Linked DNA regions of Nothobranchius furzeri. The protein of the gene in region 4 interacts with the protein of the main gene of each other region in a pairwise test. Links are inferred from orthologs where the notes say so. Each region holds a gene or a part of one and is shown on either strand. Other genes may lie near its edges. The genes, in order: trim2a, myt1la, dpysl2b and tnika.

Region 1 (5,518 bases), on a different chromosome or scaffold from region 4:
ATGCATGCCGTAGAGCTCCATGCTGCCCCCTACAGTTTGGGAGAATATTGGCTCACCGCAGAGACAAGCCGCATGAACCATAAACACTGCAAGTTGTGAAGCACGTTCCATCCGCAAGCCGCATCACCGCGCGGAAAGTAAATGCGTCAAGCATAAACCAAGCTTTAGTAAATTGGAGCTGACATACCTGGCGCTGCAGTCTGCCTCCAGCGCATTTCCTGCATGTTTTAGATCATGAACACAGCGGATTTGCTTGATTTTGTGATGACTCACTCCTGTAGACACTAATGAAGGCTGAGAAGATAATTCAGCTGTTAGATTAAGGTGTTAAAAAGACGAACACACAGCGAGGAGACAAGTTTTACTTTGATTTTTACAAACAGACACTAGGGGGTGCTAAAAGCAAGCCAAAACTGCTTTGTATCCCTTTAAATCCTCCTGAGGAACCAGAGACCGGGGCCCATCTGTGTTTATTTAAATAATAAACATCTAAAATGTGCAGTAGACTGCAATGGGGCACAACATTTTCACTCAGATCATTGAATTAAAAATAGCACATGTTACATTCATGTTCTTTGGAATAGTAGTGTGTTGCCATCCAGTGTTGCATTCTTGAATTACATGTATACAGAACTGCATTTCTAGTTTGCAGGGTTGTTATTTTATGGAGTTTATTTAATATTGATCAAAGTCAGGTTGTATCCATCACTGAAGAATTTAGTTGCTACTATTAGCTTTTGAGAAATTTTGCACCACTTAACTCATCGTGTCTGAGATGCCACAGCTCCAATCTGAAAAATGCTTGAAACAGTTCATGCACACATATTAGAAGCATTTACACCATCATGAATCTTATTAAGTGGTAATTTCAGCAGAAAATAGCTTTGTATCTAGCTACATTTCACAACAATTCTCCTGGAATTACCATGAAATCTTAAATCTCTGTAATGTGAAAGTTATATGAACTTTTCTAGAAAAGAATTGAGAACTGAACTGAAACCCCAATGAATTCAACTAAAGTAGTGTTTTAAAAAACAAGATGTTAATTTCTGGCAGATTGACATTTTTGGATAATCTACATCCATGCCTACTGGGCTTTTTTCATCCTCAGACTGTCAACTAAATCCGTTTACAAATCCATCCCTGAGCTCAGACAGTCAGAGATGCTCTCAGCTGGACGACACCCAGCATTAATTAAGCTTTACCACATCACATGTCACCATGGAAGAACTCCAGCAGAGCTCACCGATGATAACCCGCTGATCCTGAGAGGTCAAACAGCAGCATCAATACCCCACAGGCAATGGAAAGACTCATCATTTATCAGTCAGAGTGATCAGATGGTGATGGGAAGCCTACTGCTAAGTATTGATTATGTTCGGATGCAGGGAAGGTGGTCAGAAAACTCTTGTGCAGGATTTTTAATTATTTAAATAATACCTTTCAGTTTATTAAAAAAAATCAAAAATAACAAATCCTTGCCGTGTGTCGAACACACACCAAAGCTTAACCAGTGGGAGTTATGCACTGAGGTACATGGAATGAGTTGATTTTGTCATAAAATATTAAAAAAACAATATAAATGCAAGTATAGAAAGGCAGCGGGTTACTCAGTGCATTTAAAATATGAAAAGTAAAGCATTGTGTTCACACAAAACTAACTGACTGTGATATAATCAAAAAACTGCAGAATTCATCCGGAGAAGGGAGCATGTTGCATCTCTCCAGAGCACTGAGTCATCTCAGCAGCTGCTACACTTCCTGATCAGCACAGAACGCCTCCCACATGTTCACCGCTGCTGCAGCAGCACAGGGATGCAGCCACTACTGCATCAGTCTCAGCAGCACTCACTGAGCTGCACTAAAACATCACATTAACTAAATAAAGAAGCTGCCTTCATAAATCATGGAATTCTAAAGAACAAGTTCACTCATTTTTCCCAACACATTTTCAGTGGTCTCTAGGATAAATTAATGCCTTGTTAGTCAATGTGGGGTAAAAAAAAACTCTGGCGATCCTGTTTCAGGAAGCAGAAGTTAGCCAGAGAAGGTGGGAGCAGAGGATGGCAGGATTTGGAGTCTTATTCCGTACATCTCACATCTGATTGGCTAACAGCAACACGACTCTACCACTAACTGTTTGCTTTGTAACGTTGACATATTTTCTCTACAAATAACACAAGCCTGAAGGAGTTCTGCCATGTGGTGGAATTGCTAATGCAAACAGTTAGCTTCTAATAGCCAAGACGTTCTCTGCTGTTTCCTGGATGCTAAACCAACAACAGCCTTCCCTGTTGTGAGTCAAAATGGGTAAGTCCATGAATGTTAAGTGACAGTGGGATGCATATCTGTCAAACCTTTCAAACCCTAGAGATTCATCCTCTAGTTTCTATCAGAAGTTAATGCAGCAGATAGGTGTAGGAGACTGTTTTCATGTTCAGCTTGCACGAAAAACTCAGATTGACCAAATTTAATCAGAAATAATAAAAAAGGTCTTTCAGTGTATCACATCTTTAATGCAAACAGCTAATCAGCCAATCACACAAGAACAAGCTCAATGCATTCATGCGGACATGATGAAAACCTGCTGAAGTTCTAACTTGCTATCAGCATTAAGAAGAAACAAAACTGAAGCGACTCTGCATGGTTGGTGCCCACACTGGTCTGAGTATGTCATAGCTTTCTGTTCTGCTGAGATTCTCTCCCACAACCATCTACAGGGTCTATAAGAGCCTGACTGATGTCAGAGGTCAGAGGAGAACAGCCGGACAGGTTCACGGCGATTGACAAAGAAAAAGAGCTCAAATAGCGATTGAATATTGCCATGGTCTACAGAAAAGCATCTCGGAACCACAGCATGATGAACATGGAGCAGACTCCAGCAGCAGAAGATCTCTGCTAAGAACAGGAACCTGAGGCTACAATTCGCACAGGATCACCAGAGCTGGACCAGAAGAGACTAGAAGATGTGTCCTGGTTTGACGAGTCTGGATTTCAGCTGCAACATTCAGATGGGTGGGTCAGAATTTGGTGTCACGAACGTGAAAGCATGGATCCTTCCTGCTTTGTATGAATGCTCCATGCAGCTGCTGGCAGTGTAATGGTGGGAGGGAGATGTTCTGGTTCCACTTTGGACCTAGTCCCGTGTGAGCCCAAGAGCTGACTCAAGTTGTGGCCTCATTGGACCCGTCCTCTGATGGCTACTTCCAGCGGGATAGCAGACACCAGTGACCCCCACAGTCACCAGATCTGAATCCAGTCCAGAACTTGTGGATGTGATTGAATGGAAGACTCACCTCATGGGGGTCCGAGAAATCTGCAGCAGCTGTGTGATGCTGTCATGTCAGAATGGACCAGAACCTCTGATGCAGATTAGTGCATGACACCATAAAACTACAAACTCCTGCAGTGTGGAAAATGCTTCAGCTACAAGACTTTTCTCCCCCTTTAGATAATAAATAAAGCCACATTTTTGCTTGATGACAAAACTCATCATGTAAGAGCAGCTCGTCACAACAAACCACTCTGGATTCAGCTGATTAGATAAGTTTGCATATATGCCATTATCAAATAGTTCTTACTCACCTCAAAGGAGTCTTGTTTGAAATAAAATCTGCAACTACACCAGGAGAAACTCTAAAACTCGGTGACAGTTAGAGGGATTTTCCTGGTTTAGCACTGCTTCATGTCCACCAGCTGACCTGTTAGCTGCTCTGCAGTGACAGCCTCCAGCTGATCTGAGACCAGCCTCCAACCACTTCCCCTTCACTTGTTAAAGGGACCTGCCCACAATAAAGAGCTAGGAGAGCAACGAGCTGGATGTAATCTGGGCTAATCCGGTCTGGGCAGAGAAAAGGCACTCAGACAGGAGAAACCTTATAAATATTACACAAACGTGTAAAAATAGGCTCTGGGTTTATTTATTATTTATAATTTTTATATTATTCAAGAAGAGAAAAAGGCTCAATGTGGTGGGTCTGGCTCTCTGCATAGTTTTTCAATGGGAATAGCTTTAATATCAATTTAAAAAAAAGATCATGTAAATTATTAAATGTTGCCCCAAATTTCAGAAAAGTGTCGTATTTTCAACATGTTTGCAACAAATATTGAAAAATGTTAAAAGTTTGTGTCAAATTGCTGCTGTTATCAGAGCTCTAGTTTGCTTTTGGGAAAACATCAGGACACGTCTCATTTCCTTTCTGGAAGGGGGCGGGACTTAGCGCAGGCATCCACTAGTGGCACTTGTTTTACTTTGGCCTCAACTTTTTCTTTACACAAGCACCATGTGACCATTGCTGATCGCCTTTGTGTAAGTGCTGCCATGCAATGTCTGCATATGACCAATTTCTAGAAAGGATGGATAAAGTTTTATCATGCAGATTAAAGATGAATATCAAAAACGACAGCAGCTGGAGAGGATTCCTTCAAAGGAATCTCCTACCATCTTTATGCAGATGACATCCAACTGTACATCTCCTTTAAGCCCCATGAGATGTCTAAGCTGCAGCTGTTACACACCTGCTTAGACTCTATCAAAGCCTGGATGGCTGGGAGCTTTCTTCAGCTGAATGAAGATAAGACTGAGATCCTCATCTGTGCCCCAGACAAGCTGGTTCCCAAAGTCAGAGACTCTCTTGGTCAGCTTGCTTCTCACACCAAACCTTCCGTCAGAAATCTTGGCGTGACCTTTGACCCAGCTCTCACCCTGGATTCTCATGTCAGTTCTCTTGTTTGCTCTTCCTTCTTCCATCTCAGGAACATTGCTAAGCTGAGTCCCATTCTGTCCCGCTCTGAACTTGAGACAGTTCTCCACACCTTCATCTCCTCACGCTTAGACTACTGTAACTCTCTTTTCACGTGTCTGAGCAGAACCTCCCTGAACCGTCTACAGGTGGTTCAGAATGCCTGTGCTCGGCTTCTGACCAAGTCCTCCAAACACACCCACATCACCCCGCTTCTCCTCCAGCTTCACTGGCTGCCAGTCAACTTCAGGGTTCATTTCAAGATCCTGGTTCTGGTCTATAGGGCCTTACATGGACAAGCACCATCTTACATTGGTGATCTTCTTAGTCCCTACACCCCCAGCAGGTCCCTGAGGTCCAGTGATCAAAGCCTACTGGTTGTGCAGCACCAGGCTAAAGACCAAAGGTGACAGATAATTTGCTGCTGTGGCCCCCAGACTCTGGACCTCTCTCCCCCTGAGCCTGAGATCAGTGGACTCAGTGGTCTCCTTTAAAAAGCAGCTGAAACTCACTTGTTCAAGCTGGTTTTTGTATGACCTTCTTCACCACTCTCTCTTTATTCTGCTCTCCCCACCTATTCCACCTTCCTCAGGATCCACTGATTTCCCTCTTTCCTATCCACTCTCTCTCTTTCTTAACTTTTTTTAATCACAATTGTCTATTTTTTGCTCATTTTAAATATATTTTTAACCAATTTCTAAATTCATTTTATATTTTTACATTTTTTGTTTTTGTGAAGCACCTCATGATTTTTATCTTGAGAGGCGCTATAGAAA
Region 2 (5,566 bases), on a different chromosome or scaffold from region 4:
GAAAGGTGGAATAAGAGCAGAACCAGGAGAGGGAGGTGAGGAAGGTCCCACCAAACCCGGGGGAGAGAGATCCAGAGTCTGGGGGCCACAGCAGCAGATAATCTGTCACCTTTGACCTATAGCCTGGTACTGCACAACCAGTGAAAGGAAGAGGCAACAAGAGAACTGACATGAGAATCCAGGGTGAGAGCTGGGTCAAAGGTCACGCCAAGATTCCTGACGAAAGGTTTGGTGTGAGAAGCAAGCTGACCAAGAGAGTCTCTGACTTTGAGAACCAGCTTGTCTGGGGCACAGATGAGGATCTCAGTCTTATCTTCATCCAGCTGTAGAAAGCTCCCAGCCATCCAGTTTTTGATAGAGTCTAAGCAGGTGTGTAACAGCTGCAGCTTAGACATCTCATGGGGCTTAAAGGAGATGTACAGTACAGGCAGGACAATAGGAGTTTCTGATGAGGTCATTGTTATTTCCTATAAGATCACCAAGGTCATAAGTCCTTGGCACCGCCCTCTATGTAGCTCCCTACTTGTGTCGTCGGTGCTGTTGGTCCCAACAACGCCCACGTGTCTCAAGGTGCGGGGTTTGGTTACGGCAGCTGCTCCACTCTGAAGAATTTGGTCTTTCTACTTGGAGTCAACAACAAACATGTGCAGGTGTGTTTTTCTAAAGGCAACAAACACTGAATGGTGACGGCCGAACTGGCCCCAAATTCACGCCACAGAGACGATAATCCAGTCGGAAAACTGTTAAATGGGAGGTTTTTTTCTCAGGTGTTCAATTAAAACAGGAATGGGGAACCCTGGCCCTCGAGGGCCGGTATCCTGCATGTCTCTGCTCATCAAGCTCTGCAGAAGCTTGTTAGTCACCTGCTGATTGAAATCAGGTGTGATGATGCAGGGTTGAAACTAAAATATGCTGGATAGTGGCCCTCGATGGACCAGGGTTCCCCACCCCTGAACTAAAAGGACCAATCAGCTGACTCGGAGAACTGCATTCTCATCAGTGATCCAGTCAGACTGCAGGTTGGAGTCGTGTAGTTGTACCTGCTCGTAACTTTGCTGTGGCTCCGCCTCAATCTGCTGCTGGTCTTCAAACTGAAGATAGTTCAAACAAACAACCCCTCAGAGGCCATGACCTACAGAGACAAGAGGAGAACACATACACACACACACACACACACACACACACACACACACACACACACGCACACACACACACACACACTCTCTCACTAAGATCCACTGGTCTTCAACTTTATTACAAATATAAACTATCAGCTAACTTAGTGATGCTTCCAGGCTGAGGCTCCACCAAGCATGCTCAATTTTTCCTGCAGGATTCCTGCTAAAGATCTAAACAAGGCTCCAACCCTTTCGCCAAGGCAGGGGCGGAAATGGAGGGATGGACAAAGAAGCAGAAGAAATTCATCAGCACAACAAAACCCAGAATCCAGCTGGCCTGTTGAGCCTGATCTGAAACATTTCTCTGGAAAAGCATGAAAAGTTTATTCTGAGCAAACCAACACTGTAATCTGTCAAAGTCGTGTGGAAACTCCTGAGTTTCACATAGTAGACTGAATCATCAGCAAACAAGTGACCTGAGCAACACAGGAGCAGGTAAAGGCCCTAAAGATGGTCCACGAGGAATGTAAGGAAAGGTTTTTCAGTTTGACGTGGCTCGCCATGGTAACAGCAGCATCAGGCCGTTTCTCAGTACCAGACACGTGTGTTCTTGGCAGGGAAACCAGAAAGTCCGTTCTACTGAGGACGGGAGAATGAGGACGCACTCCGCTCTGTCCTGGCAACAAGCGCTGCCTGTTGCTATGGTTACAAAATGACCTGACACAACAATTAAAGTTCACTTTGTCCCTTAAATAACAATGAATGCATATTTATATAATGCTTGGTCTATTTTCATCAAGCATCCAGCATTTCCTGTTAAATGAAGAAAAAAAGATTCTTTTTCCTCAAAAAAGAGCAGTGCTGCTTTTATTTTGATAGGGTTTTAGCTAATTAGCTATTTGAGGGATTGTGAAGTGTGAAAATAAGTTACGCACAGCAAATTTTACGGCTTACACACAGTAACAGACAACTTGGATTGTTTTATATGTTTCTGTTGTAAGAAACTACAGTTATAGGGTTTCTGCTCTGGTGTTTGGAGTACAACAGCTTGTGAGGCAATGCATTATGGGATATTTTGCTGTTGGATGCATCGATGCATCCTGGATACCATGGGTGGAGCAAGAACAAATCCCAAAACTTTGAGTGAATTTGCTGTGATGCGTACTTGGGCCATCGTTGATGGCGTTTCACAAGGACGTCGGTACACAAGGTCAGATGAGTACGCATATTGAGAAACAGCTTCAATGTCTCATTAGGGTTTCCATGGTAACATCCGTGGCTCATCAAGGTCACCACGGTAAACACCAGTTGCTCCTGAGGGTCACCATGGTAACCACCCACATGTCCCATAGACAATTAGAAGTCAAATAAAATTGTTATTAAATATTTTTGACACTTCAAATGATAGTTAGACTGTCAGCTGAACATCATGAAGATGTTTCCTCCTGACATCATCAGGTCTAAACCAGCTGTGAGGGTTCTGCTTCACCAGATCCCTGTTGTCTCCACATACACAGCTATGGAACCCTAACCAGAAACTTACCTGATAAATCATCCAATCACATTACAGAATCAGGACTCGCTGCAGAGCTTCACAACAACAAATAACAGGGTCAAAGACTCGGACAGAGCAGCTGACAGCCTGCGTAGGTCCAAATAAACCAGAGAGAAAGTTCCCTCCATTTCACACGGACCTGGGACCAGAACCAGGACGACTGCAGCTGCAAACAGCTGGAGAACGATGGAGATGGGTGGTGGAGAAGGTGATGGAGGAGAGACGGGTGAAGAAGAAGGATGTTGGTACGAAAGCGGAAGATGACACAAAAAGAAGAAGCGTACCGAAATGTCAAAAGATGGAGCCTCCTTTTCCTCCCTCCTCCAAAAGTGTAAGCCTCCGATATTCAAGGTCTCCTTTCTGTTCCGTCTTTGTGATGAGTGGCCATGGCTTCAGCGATGGAGAGGAGGTGGAGGAGGAGGAGGGGGAGAGAGGGCTGTGTGATGAAGATGCTCCAGATGCAAATGAAGAAGAAGGAAATGGTTTTACCTCTCTGTATGTTCCTTCTTCTCCTGGCTTTTCTATTTTCACAAGGACGTGCACGTCGACTCGTCCACGCGTCTAACGGAGACGCAGCAGGAGGCGCAGCCCCCCCTCCGCATGAACTCAGCACGTTCTCTCCCTCTCTCTTTGTGTGCAGCGACGAGCAGCCGCTCAGTGCTGGAATAAAACCTGTCTCATTGTTCAGATGTGAATGGAAACACGGGCATCTGCTCCACCTGCTTCGTCACCAGCAGCCGGTTCATCAGCCGTCATCTGACTCATTTTAAACCTGATTTTAGTTCAGACGTGCTGCAGTTGCAAATCCTTCAGCACCATCAAAAGCTTCCTGTTGACCTGTTGGTGGACGAGAAGGAGGTCCCTCCCCCAGGTTAGGGTTATATTATGGGCCTTTTCCACCAACCAAACTGGCATGGAATGAGAAGGATCGGGTCGCTAAATATTTTGTTTCGATTGTTGAACCAGTGCAGGAACCCTACCCCGACCGGGCCAGTAGCGGGCCAGAGCGGGACACTACCCCTGATTGCCTCCCGGAGATCAGGGCAGGGCTAAATGTGGGTGGGGTCAAACATTTAGAGGTGGGCGGAGACAACTATTTGACTCCTGCCCCTCTCTCAATGGTCAAGTGGGCCGTCATTTGTGAGCCGCGGTCAACCCAGCCACATCTTATCCGCCACATAAATTTCCTTGCGCTTCTACACCAGTCTTTACGGTACCACATTTTAAAAAAATTCATTAAAAATCATCAAGAGTAGTTGATGTCCAACTTTCAACACATCCTTCCTCTGGGACACCTACTGTACCTGTGTGCCAGATTTCAGACAGATGTACTGTAGAAATCCTCAGATATTAAAGCAAACTTGTAATTAATGTAATACAGTCAATACAATAATGTCATTTTAAAAAATTCATAAAAAATCATCCTTAATAGCTGATGTCCAACTTTCACCACATCCCTACAGATTTACTGTAGAAATCCTCAGATATTAAAGCAAACTTGTAATTAATGCAATACAGTCAATACAATTATGTCATTTTAAAAAATTCTTAAAAAATCATCCTTAATAGCTGATGTCCAACTTTCACCACATCCCTACTCTGGGACACCTATTGTACCTGTGTGCCAGATTTCAGACATATTTACTGTAGAAATCCTCAGATATTAAAGCAAACTTGTATTTAATGCAATACAGTCAATACAATTATGTCATTTTCAAAAATTCATACAAAATCATCCTTAATAGTTGATGTTAGAGCCCTGCACGGGCCTAAAATCTGAGCCCGTGTCCGGCCCGGCCTGAGGGGGTGGAGCCCCAGCCCGACCCGGCCCGAAAAGGTTTTCAGGATTCTCTGGCCCGACCCGAGCCCGACTTTTTTTTAACCAACTAAATGAAAACAAAGTGCATCAATCCTGACCAATGTGTTAAAAGACCTGCAGGATCCGATCAATTTGTTTTTCCCTCATTTACCATCACGGAGATGACGGCGCACTGGCTCTGGTGGTAATCAAGTTAAATTTTATCTCTTTCCAACAATTTTCACAAGAACACAAAACAGTCTAAAGCAGGGCTTGTGTTGACCGGATAGTTCCCGTATTTGACGGTTTATTTTGACGGAGAAAGAATAGAAAGAATTACCCCGACGCATGCAGACGAACTGACATTTTATTCATTACGCACATTGCAGATGTAGCTAAAAGATTCCCATCTGAACATCTGAGCTGCTCAGCGCAGCTTGCTGTCAGCGCATATGTGCACAACGAGCTGAAGTTGTGGAGATTGGCTTGGAGCACATCGCAGAACCAGAACGCATGCGTGAAGGTTCCTCCCACTGAAGCGAGGGTTTTCCAAACCCCGTCTCTCAGAGAGACTTGTCACTTAGAAAATGTTCCCTGATTATGAAACTTTGGCTGAATAGTGCTTGTTCCTGTTTCCAATTTGGCAACGCATTCATGAGCCGTCTGAGGAGAAGCCCAGAATCTGACATCTTCAGCTCAGAAAGCGCCGATATGATTACGCGCAAGCGTGACGCGTCAACCCGGTCTCACAGTAAGACCGGGTTGGACCTGTTCAGGTTTACGCAGACAGTCTTTACATAGAATTGACTTACAGATATAAAATTAATTCAGTAAAATATAAAGCATTTTATTTAAATATCCATTCATTATTTTACAAGCACAGAGAGCCGCATCAGATGGATGGAAGAGCCGCGGGTTGTGACATGTTTTCTCCAGGACCAGAGAGGACGCAAACTCGATACATTTCTTTTATTGTGAGGTAATAATTTCTCTGAGTTTTGCCGGTGCGGGCGGGAGTGTAACACACACGTTGCGGTTGCAGGCGGTAATGGTCAGAAATTCAGCGGGAGCGGGCACGAGCGGGATGAAGAAAAC
Region 3 (3,655 bases), on a different chromosome or scaffold from region 4:
TATATTGTCTTTAAAAAGCAGAAATGTCTTTGCTTTGATATAACGTTCATTCATTTATGAATGTTCTCCATGTTTTGTACAAAAATCCTAATTTGATTAACTTCTAACTAGAACTGCCAGATGAGTGACTACATCATGAGGGACAGAAACCACTTTAGTTTCTCCTGACAACAGGGAGAAGGTAAACAAACACTGATATTGATTATGGATAACAGAAGTATGGTTCTGGGGCTGACCGGACAGACTGAACCCAGACTGGTGCAGGTTGCGGACAGGCTGGTTGGGTTGTTTGGCAGGAGACGTCTTGGCGGAGGAGACAGGAGTCATGACTTTAGGAGTGATGGATACCTCACAGACCGGGCCGTCGTACAGACCCCTGGGCACGCCCCTTAGCTCAGCCATCTGCATCATGGGACATAAAACACACGGTAAAAATCTTTGCATCCTTTTTGTTTCCTTATTCCAGCAGAAATAGCCTAATATTTACATCAGCAGTGCTCACTGGAAGTGTTACTGCTAGCCGATGCAAATAACTATGATATATATATATATATATACTAAATTAGTTCATTAGGCAGGTTTCTGACAAAGGTTTAAATGTAATTTTTGTAAAGCAACAGCTAACAGAAGGACATCTGACATGACTAGCATAACAGGCTATTAGTGCTGCTAATGTCTCAGTAAAGAACGTTGCTACTTTCTATCCTAAAAGTGACTAGAAGTCAGTAAATGACACCATAAACTAATTTGCATTATTCGTTGTGTATCTAATGGTAATGGATGCTGTAGTATACAATAATGGAATAATGTCATAGGAGACACAAAACGTGAGTACAAATTGCTAAGTAAGTTAAGAACTACAAAAGGAAATGTTTCTCCTAATTTTTTTTTCCTTCGTTTATTTTGTGTGTCACAATTTTAATTAAACTTTATCAGGACTTGGGACCTGCAAACCCGACTCGAAAAGACATTGGCATACAGGTGAAACTCAAAAAATTAGAATATGGTGCAAAAGTTCTTTTATGTCAATAATCCAACTTAAAAAGTGAAATTAACATATCACTCATTCTATGCAAATCCTGATATTCCAAGTCTTTATTTGTTATAATTGTGGTGATCATGGCTTACAGCTGGTGAAAACCCCACATTCTGAATATTAGACAATTACAATATTGTGAAAAAGTTCAGTAGACTCAAAGTGTCACACTCTAATCAACTAATGAATCCAGAACACATTAAAGGGTTCCTGAGCCTTTAGATGGTTTCTCAGTCTAAGGTGAATTACTGAAATAAATGGACTTTTCCACCATTTAGAGTTTCACGTGTGATTTACACAGGTCAAATAAACTCAGTGAGTGTTGCAACAAAGCTGCTAAGCTAGAAACCCTGAATATTTTTGCCAGAAAAACCACGAGTGGAGTTGTTCTAGGGTGACAGTAATCCACTTTGTATTAGCTGTGTTCAGACCAGCTGTTAGCTGAAAACCAATCCTAACCTAAAACAGGTGGGATTTCAACTGTCACTTTAAGTTTTATACAGCCTGTTAGAAGCTGTTTTGTGAGACGATTTAAAGTCAAACCAATTTTAAAATGTAAGTTGTGGCGTTTTTAAGTCTAAAAGTCCAACCGCCTGAATCCAGTTTAACACACTTTGACATTCAGCAGTAGCAATCTGAAGAGAGAGCATCAAAGCAGAGGAAACTAGTTACTGCACCCTGCTGCGAGCTTTTATCCTCTTGTAGACGTAGTCAGGGAAAGGTTTGCGGGCCACAAACCGACCCGAACCCTCGGTGACGTGGAGGTTTCCTTCCTCCAAGACGATCTTCCCCTGGCTGATGACCACCAGGGGACCGCCGCGCACCTCCAAGCCCTCAAAGATGTTGTACTCCACAGTCTGAGGGCAGAACAAGAGCGGTGATGTTACAGTGCTGCCCTAACCAAACCAACACCAGTGTAAAAATGGTTTTTCAATGCTGATTTTTAGAATTAAAGTTCCTGTCTGGCAGACGTACTCCTGTGATGTTTTATTACTGCCTCCTCAGAGTCAGCATGCTCGAAACCATAACAGATCAGAACAGAAACAACTTCAAAGCAGAGATCTGGTGATTCACATCCTCCAGACAGATTTTCCTCTATCATCAGGATGATGTAAGGCCATGCACATTCTCCACCCCCCCCACCCCCCAAATAAGATTTATGAATCTCTCCCTCATGCATTATCTGCCAAACAGCAGTGGAACATTGTTGGACTGAAACATGTAGAAAAAGCAGCAGAAACAAGTGTAAAAATTGTACAGAGCTGATGTATTTTACAGTGTTCCCTTTGGCCAAATGCTAACAGATGAAGAGGATGAAGAAGATTAGTCTTCAGAGGGGTTTGGGTGTTTTTGGAGGCCTTATAATTGCTCTTTCTAAAAGCTACTGGAGTTAAAGCTGAGGTCATGGCAATCTGGCAAACTCCACAGCCCAACATGAGATCACCAGCAGACAAGGCTATCCCATAACTCTCTCCCTCTCTCCCTCTCTCACTCACACACACACACACACACACACACACACACACACACACACACACACACACACACACACACACACACACACACACACACACACTGGCAGCGAGCAATTTCCTCCATGAAATGAGAAGAAACCAAAGAACAGGACTAAGTGAACACATTCCCAGAGCGAACACAGACACAGCGATTGGTCTGCTAACAATCAGACAATGATGTGTTTGAGCTCTGGCAGATTTTATGAATGACATCACTCCCTGGATGCTGTGTGAGACCAACGCCCTGTGCAAGAGTCTCCTCTAAGCCTAACACTCGAGTCACAGGAGGCTGTACCGAGTTGTGGCTCTTGGCGGAGATGATCTTGGTGACGTCTGGGTCCCACAGCACCAGATCTGCATCGGACCCCACGGCGATGCGCCCCTTGCGGGGGTACAGGTTGAAGATCTTGGCGGCGTTGGTGCTGGTCACAGCCACAAACTGGTTTTCATCCATCTTACCCGTCACCTGGAGTAAATCAGAACTGTGTGTTGGGATCGCTGACCTTGAATCAGATAATTGGACTTATCTTACGGTCTGTGTGAACATGTACCACAGACTTGTCCCAGATGATGGACATCCTCTCCTCGGTGCCGTTGACCCCCTCAGGGATCAAGGTGAAGTCGTCTTTCCCCACGGCGCGCTGAGCTGTGTTAAAGGGACAGTGTGCACTTCCTGTCACCTGCAGGTCACCACTGTAAAGATGGTGGAGAGGACTTTGTTTTGAGTGTTTTCTCTCAGACAAAGTTTTCCTAACATGAGGGTTTGGATCAAAGCTTTACCAGGACAGCAGCGAGTTGAGATAGTCCGGTGTGGTCGGGTCAGGGCTGAGGGGAGGGGAGGTGACATAGGCTGCAGCCTTGGCCCAGTTCTTGCTCCAGTAGTGGGACCCGTCTGTTCCCAGGCTAGCAGTGGTGGGCTCTCCGTAGACCACGGTACCTGAAAGTCCAACAGAACATTAGATACTATAAAATATTAAGATTTGAAATGTTCAGAGGAACAAATAATAGGACTAAGTAAAGACACCTGTAAATGTCTTTCTGCAACAAAAAAATGCAGATGCACAGGTTTTCTCAGGGCATTCCAGCTGTCTCCCACTCATTAGTG
Region 4 (4,768 bases):
TCAACAGCAATGCTAGTGAACTGCACATAAATACAAGTGACACACTCGTAGATCCACTAGGGTTTACTACACATTTAGTGGTCTAATCTACAGGGGCGGTTGCAGCATGTCACCTTCATCTGTTTGGCACATCGGAGGAGAGGTTGGCAGGGAGGGAGAGAGAGAAAACAGGCATGGATGAAAGGTGGAAACAGTGAGCTTTCATTTTTATTGACACTGACATGGAATGGTGTGGGTGCTCTTTTAAGCACGATTAAAGGCTTTCCAAAAGGCAACTTTGTAACATTCTCACCAGCAGGTTGTTTTCTTTTTCAATTTAATTTGTGGAATTTTACAGACAAAAATAGAAAAGTGATGAATATATATATATATATATATATATATATATATATATATATATATATATATATATATATATATATATATATATAGATAGATAGATAGATAGATATTATATATATGTATGTATATATATATATATATATATATATATATAGATAGATAGATAGATAGATAGATAGATAGATAGATATTATATATATATATATATATATATATATATATATATATACTTGAGTCTTTGAAAATGTTCTAACTGTTAAGCACAGAGGTGGATCAGTCATTATATGGGGTTATTGAAGCTAGTGGCAGAACATATTTTAAATTTTATTGAGGGTGGTACAGCATGCATCAGTCACACCTACATAATTTATCATTAATGAGTTACTGAAGAGTTGCAGTGCACAAAAATGTTAACGGCTTTTCATAACTCCACCTTCCATTGTCTCACTTGCTGCCAGGAATCGGGACTATAAAACTTTTCCACACAGGTGTGTCCTCTGAACTAGTCACTGCTTTAAACGATTTTTAGAGATCTTTACGTCTTTTCTCTTGTGTCAGTTCACAAACTGCATTTAATAGAGAATGATGTGCTCTTTTCTTGAAGAGAATAGTGACTAATGTATTTTTTGTCTGGTTGCTGCCCATCCCTAACGTCTGCACCGTGGTATGAATACGTGCAACGTTACATCCCGAGTATTTTAGAACCTCAAAATTCATAATAGACAATCATAAGAGTACTTCTAGATAAATAGCCATAGCGCACAGGCTACAGTAATAGGGTCCAGCTCTCCAAACAAGATTTAGATCCAAAATGTTACCAAAATTTCTTATACAAATCTTTTAGAAATCAGGTTACCTTTTACTTAAAGGAAACAGAAAACCTTTCATGCCAGATCAGAGGGTTTAATGCTTGATTCCTTTAAACACTCACATCTCCATTCAGTCTTTGTTTGGTGAAATATTTCCACAAAATCAGGAAAATGACTGAATTGCTTTAAAGACCAAGTTCACTTTTTTAAAACACATTTTCAGTGGTCTAACATAAAACAAATGCCTTGTGAGTCAATCTTTGTGGGGAAAAAGAGCTCTGGCGCTCAGAGGGGAGCTTCAGACAGCAGGATTTGGAGTTTTAGATATCTCACTTCTGATTGTCCAACAGCAACACGACTCTGCCACTGGCAACACTGATGTTTTATCTCCACAACTAACACAAGCCTGAAGGACTTCGGTCACATTGCTAATGCTAATGGTTGCCAACAGTTAGCTTCTACTAGCCAAGAGGTGCTCTGCTTTCTCTCGGATGCTATAACAACAACTGCCCTTCAAGTCGCAAGCCAAGATGGGTGAGACCCTGAATGTAAATTTCACAATGTGACCTAAAATTGACAGGCTTTTCAAATCCAAGCATTCCTTCATCTATTTTCTATTGACGCCTAATGCAGGAAATAGGGGTAGAAGACCATTTTTATATTCAGCCTGGGTGTAAAGTACTTGTAGCAAGACTCCTTTCACATTTAGCCTGCATGTGAAACTCAGAGTGACTGATCGTATTTCAAAAGTTACACGCAAAAAATGTGTTTTTTTTCTCTGTGAACTTGGTCTTCAAGTTAAATTTCTTTCATCCTATGAGCTCTTTCTACAATCCAAAGCCCAACGTGGTATGCTTTGTCCGTTGTTACAAGAGTACATCATTGTATTTCTGCTCTACATAGTTGATCCAAACACAACATTTAGAAAAATAAAAATAAATCAGGTGCAAAGTTAAATTTGATGTTAGTCCTTTAGCTGCATGGCAATTAATCAAGGAACTGTCTTAAAGCTACAAAGCAAAGACCAATACTAACATGAGAGGGGATATAAATGTCGTAAGGGTTGCCGGAGTCCACATCGATGACATGGAAGCCCACACTGGAGCCATAGATGACTTTTAACCTTTGACCTTCCTCCACTGTGAGGTCAACCAGCTGAGGGCGGTGCTGCAGCTCAGCGAATGACTAAAATCAGAGAAGAGTGGAAATGTTTTTCTAAAAGAAACTTTTGAAACTGTCAGTTTAAAGCATTATTTTCTGATGCTAGACATAAAAAACGTGTTTATATGTGAGGTTTTTGTACCTTAAAGGCCATGAACTTGTGGTAGGGTTTAGGTGCCCACGCATAGATTTCCACAGCGTTCTTAAGTGCAATCACCAGGAATTTTATCCTTTCATATTTAACTGGAAACATGACAAAAGCCCACAAAAAGAGCAGGTTTTAAACCTCTAAATTCTTCAAATGATACATTTAAGTGCCTAAATACATTCTGAGGGAATTTCTAAATACTTGGTTTTCTGTTTGAAACGTGAAGATATCTTTAAAAAGCATCATAAAATCTTTACAGCCTTTAGTTAAATGATAAAAAATTCAAGCCTACAATTTTATTTACTTTGCTGAAGTTTTTCTTACCAACTTTATAATGCAAACAGCCCTCCAGTTCTCCAACTGTAACCCAACCCTGTTTCTTTTCAACTTCTGGGTCGTTGTGTAATATTCTGTTCCTCAACCAGGACAAATAGTACACTCGTAACTTATTCTTTTTCCCTGAGAAAAGAGGAGACATAAATATTAATCTAGGTACACACGGAATGTATTTGAACTAAAATAAACACAAGTGTGTGTTACGATCCAATCAGAGAGGTTTTATCTACCTGATATGGTGACTAAAACATTAAGTCCTTCCAGAACATCCATCTGTAGGAAGCGCCGTCTGGTTATAAGGTTATAAACTTTTCCCTGTCCACTTCGGTCAAGCAGCATTAAACCGTTTTCGGTCCCCACCATCAGGTTCACACCTAAAAGCACAAAACGCATTAAAGAAAACAAGAATGCAAAAATGAAAATGAGAATGAGGAAGATTTTTCATTTTACCCCAGAGTGCAGCACATAGGATCTCCGAGTTGAAGCGTTTCTTGTATTTCCGGATCTCTGGTGTGTCACTGTGAGGTCTGATGTTTGTCGGATTAACGTTCACCACTGAGATTTTTCTGGCTTCGTTTAGTTGGGCCTGCTCCTGCCTCAGCAGCTCGTTGGCGAACATGGCTACGGTTAGAAAGGAAAGGTGAAGAAAAAAAAAAAGAACATACTTTAACAAATGTTATCACCCATCATTGATTTAGCAGAAAAATAACTCAAAAACTCCACCTGCTGCTGAGTTCTCATCATCCATTTCACCTGGAGACGTTTGGAAAACCCGTGGATCACCAAATGGGGTGAATGATGCTTTGGACCCACCAAGACCAAACTGCAAAAAGAAGTTAATAAAACTGCTCAGCAGACGCCAACACAGTTAATGTGCACAAGCAGGACGTGTCAGGATCTGACCTCCCCCATGTTTCTCAATTCCTGCAGAGCAGAAGTGGGTGTGGCTGTGGGGGAGTTGCTCTGCTGGACCAGGTCAGGGAGGTTACCATGGTTACTGTGATTTCCAAAGCCATTACTTTCAGTGAGACTCCCTCTCCTCCTCTCCTCAACCTGAAAGACAAGGCATCATATGAGATTTAGCAAAATGTAAACAAACCCATGAGCTGGGCCTCTCTTGAGATTAATGTAGCCTGTCAGTGTGTGTGTGTGTGTGTGTGTGTGTGTGTGTGTGTGTGTGTAAGGTTGAGGCTGAGTGTGTAAGCGTGTTCACGTTCATCACCCCTCTCATCACCAGTGTCCCGTCCTTGGAGCTATTATAAGCATCTCCCAGAGCGTCCTCTGCCAGCCCTCCATACACCTCACCACTGTTCTGTGATGCTGGCCTGAAACACACACACACACACACACACACACACACACACACACACACACACACACACACACACACACACACACACACACACACACACACACACACACATACAACCACACACACACACACACACACACACACACACACACACACACACACACAAAGATCATTGATAAATTAGTTCTTCGTAAGCTATACAGGCAAGCTTCTAGCATGGTTCAAATTCCAAACAAAGCCATATGTAAAAGACAAGCAGTAACTGACAAGGAAACAGGGAAACTAAGAATGGAAAACGTACATGATCCGAGGAATGTCACTGACAGCAACAGTGCCGTCATGCCCCACTATCTCGCCATCCTCAGCACTGCTCTCTGAATCTTCACTTGAGGATGAGTAATCTGTTACCTAAAAGCAAAAAACCTAAGTCAACTTAAAAGTAATGCTAGTTTGTGGAGAAATTTTGCTTAAAGCAGTTTTAAACTGATCGTGACCTCCATGTCTGAAAACTGAAGCCAATGTGGCAGTGCTTAGAACAAACGTCTCTAATGACCAGAGGAAATGTGCGGAAGCAATCTTGTGTCAAAAACTCTTAAATTCATAAAGACAAATAAAATGCGCTAGTACCTTATTGACCCGAATATAAGACGACCCCCTTTT

The links.
Region 1: the proteins of tnika (region 4) and trim2a interact in a two-hybrid assay, tested with the Homo sapiens proteins (2 studies listed by BioGRID and IntAct). The link is inferred for Nothobranchius furzeri from reciprocal best matches to the Homo sapiens genes TNIK and TRIM2.
Region 2: the proteins of tnika (region 4) and myt1la interact in a two-hybrid assay, tested with the Homo sapiens proteins (2 studies listed by IntAct). The link is inferred for Nothobranchius furzeri from reciprocal best matches to the Homo sapiens genes TNIK and MYT1L.
Region 3: the proteins of tnika (region 4) and dpysl2b interact in a two-hybrid assay, tested with the Homo sapiens proteins (2 studies listed by BioGRID and IntAct). The link is inferred for Nothobranchius furzeri from reciprocal best matches to the Homo sapiens genes TNIK and DPYSL2.

What each region holds. Positions count from the first base shown.
Region 1 is NC_091744.1:16,885,214-16,890,731, forward strand, and holds the start of trim2a (tripartite motif-containing protein 2), read right to left. Parts: upstream 3,721-5,518; 5' UTR 3,586-3,720; intron 1-3,585. UniProt on the Homo sapiens protein: UBE2D1-dependent E3 ubiquitin-protein ligase that mediates the ubiquitination of NEFL and of phosphorylated BCL2L11. Plays a neuroprotective function. May play a role in neuronal rapid ischemic tolerance.
Region 2 is NC_091742.1:17,091,554-17,097,119, reverse strand, and holds the start of myt1la (myelin transcription factor 1-like, a), read right to left. Parts: upstream 3,297-5,566; 5' UTR 3,163-3,296; intron 3,078-3,162; exon of another isoform or gene 2,958-3,077; intron 1,133-2,957; 5' UTR 1,041-1,132; intron 1-1,040. UniProt on the Homo sapiens protein: Transcription factor that plays a key role in neuronal differentiation by specifically repressing expression of non-neuronal genes during neuron differentiation.
Region 3 is NC_091746.1:40,589,116-40,592,770, reverse strand, and holds part of dpysl2b (dihydropyrimidinase-related protein 2b), read right to left. Parts: intron 3,488-3,655; coding exon 3,331-3,487; intron 3,244-3,330; coding exon 3,102-3,243; intron 3,017-3,101; coding exon 2,846-3,016; intron 1,894-2,845; coding exon 1,714-1,893; intron 403-1,713; coding exon 237-402; intron 1-236.
Region 4 is NC_091758.1:22,722,485-22,727,252, reverse strand, and holds part of tnika (TRAF2 and NCK interacting kinase a), read right to left. Parts: intron 4,517-4,768; coding exon 4,410-4,516; intron 4,122-4,409; coding exon 4,019-4,121; intron 3,850-4,018; coding exon 3,700-3,849; intron 3,620-3,699; coding exon 3,520-3,619; intron 3,418-3,519; coding exon 3,247-3,417; intron 3,171-3,246; coding exon 3,027-3,170; intron 2,920-3,026; coding exon 2,785-2,919; intron 2,556-2,784; coding exon 2,455-2,555; intron 2,337-2,454; coding exon 2,187-2,336; intron 1-2,186. UniProt on the Homo sapiens protein: Serine/threonine kinase that acts as an essential activator of the Wnt signaling pathway. Recruited to promoters of Wnt target genes and required to activate their expression. May act by phosphorylating TCF4/TCF7L2.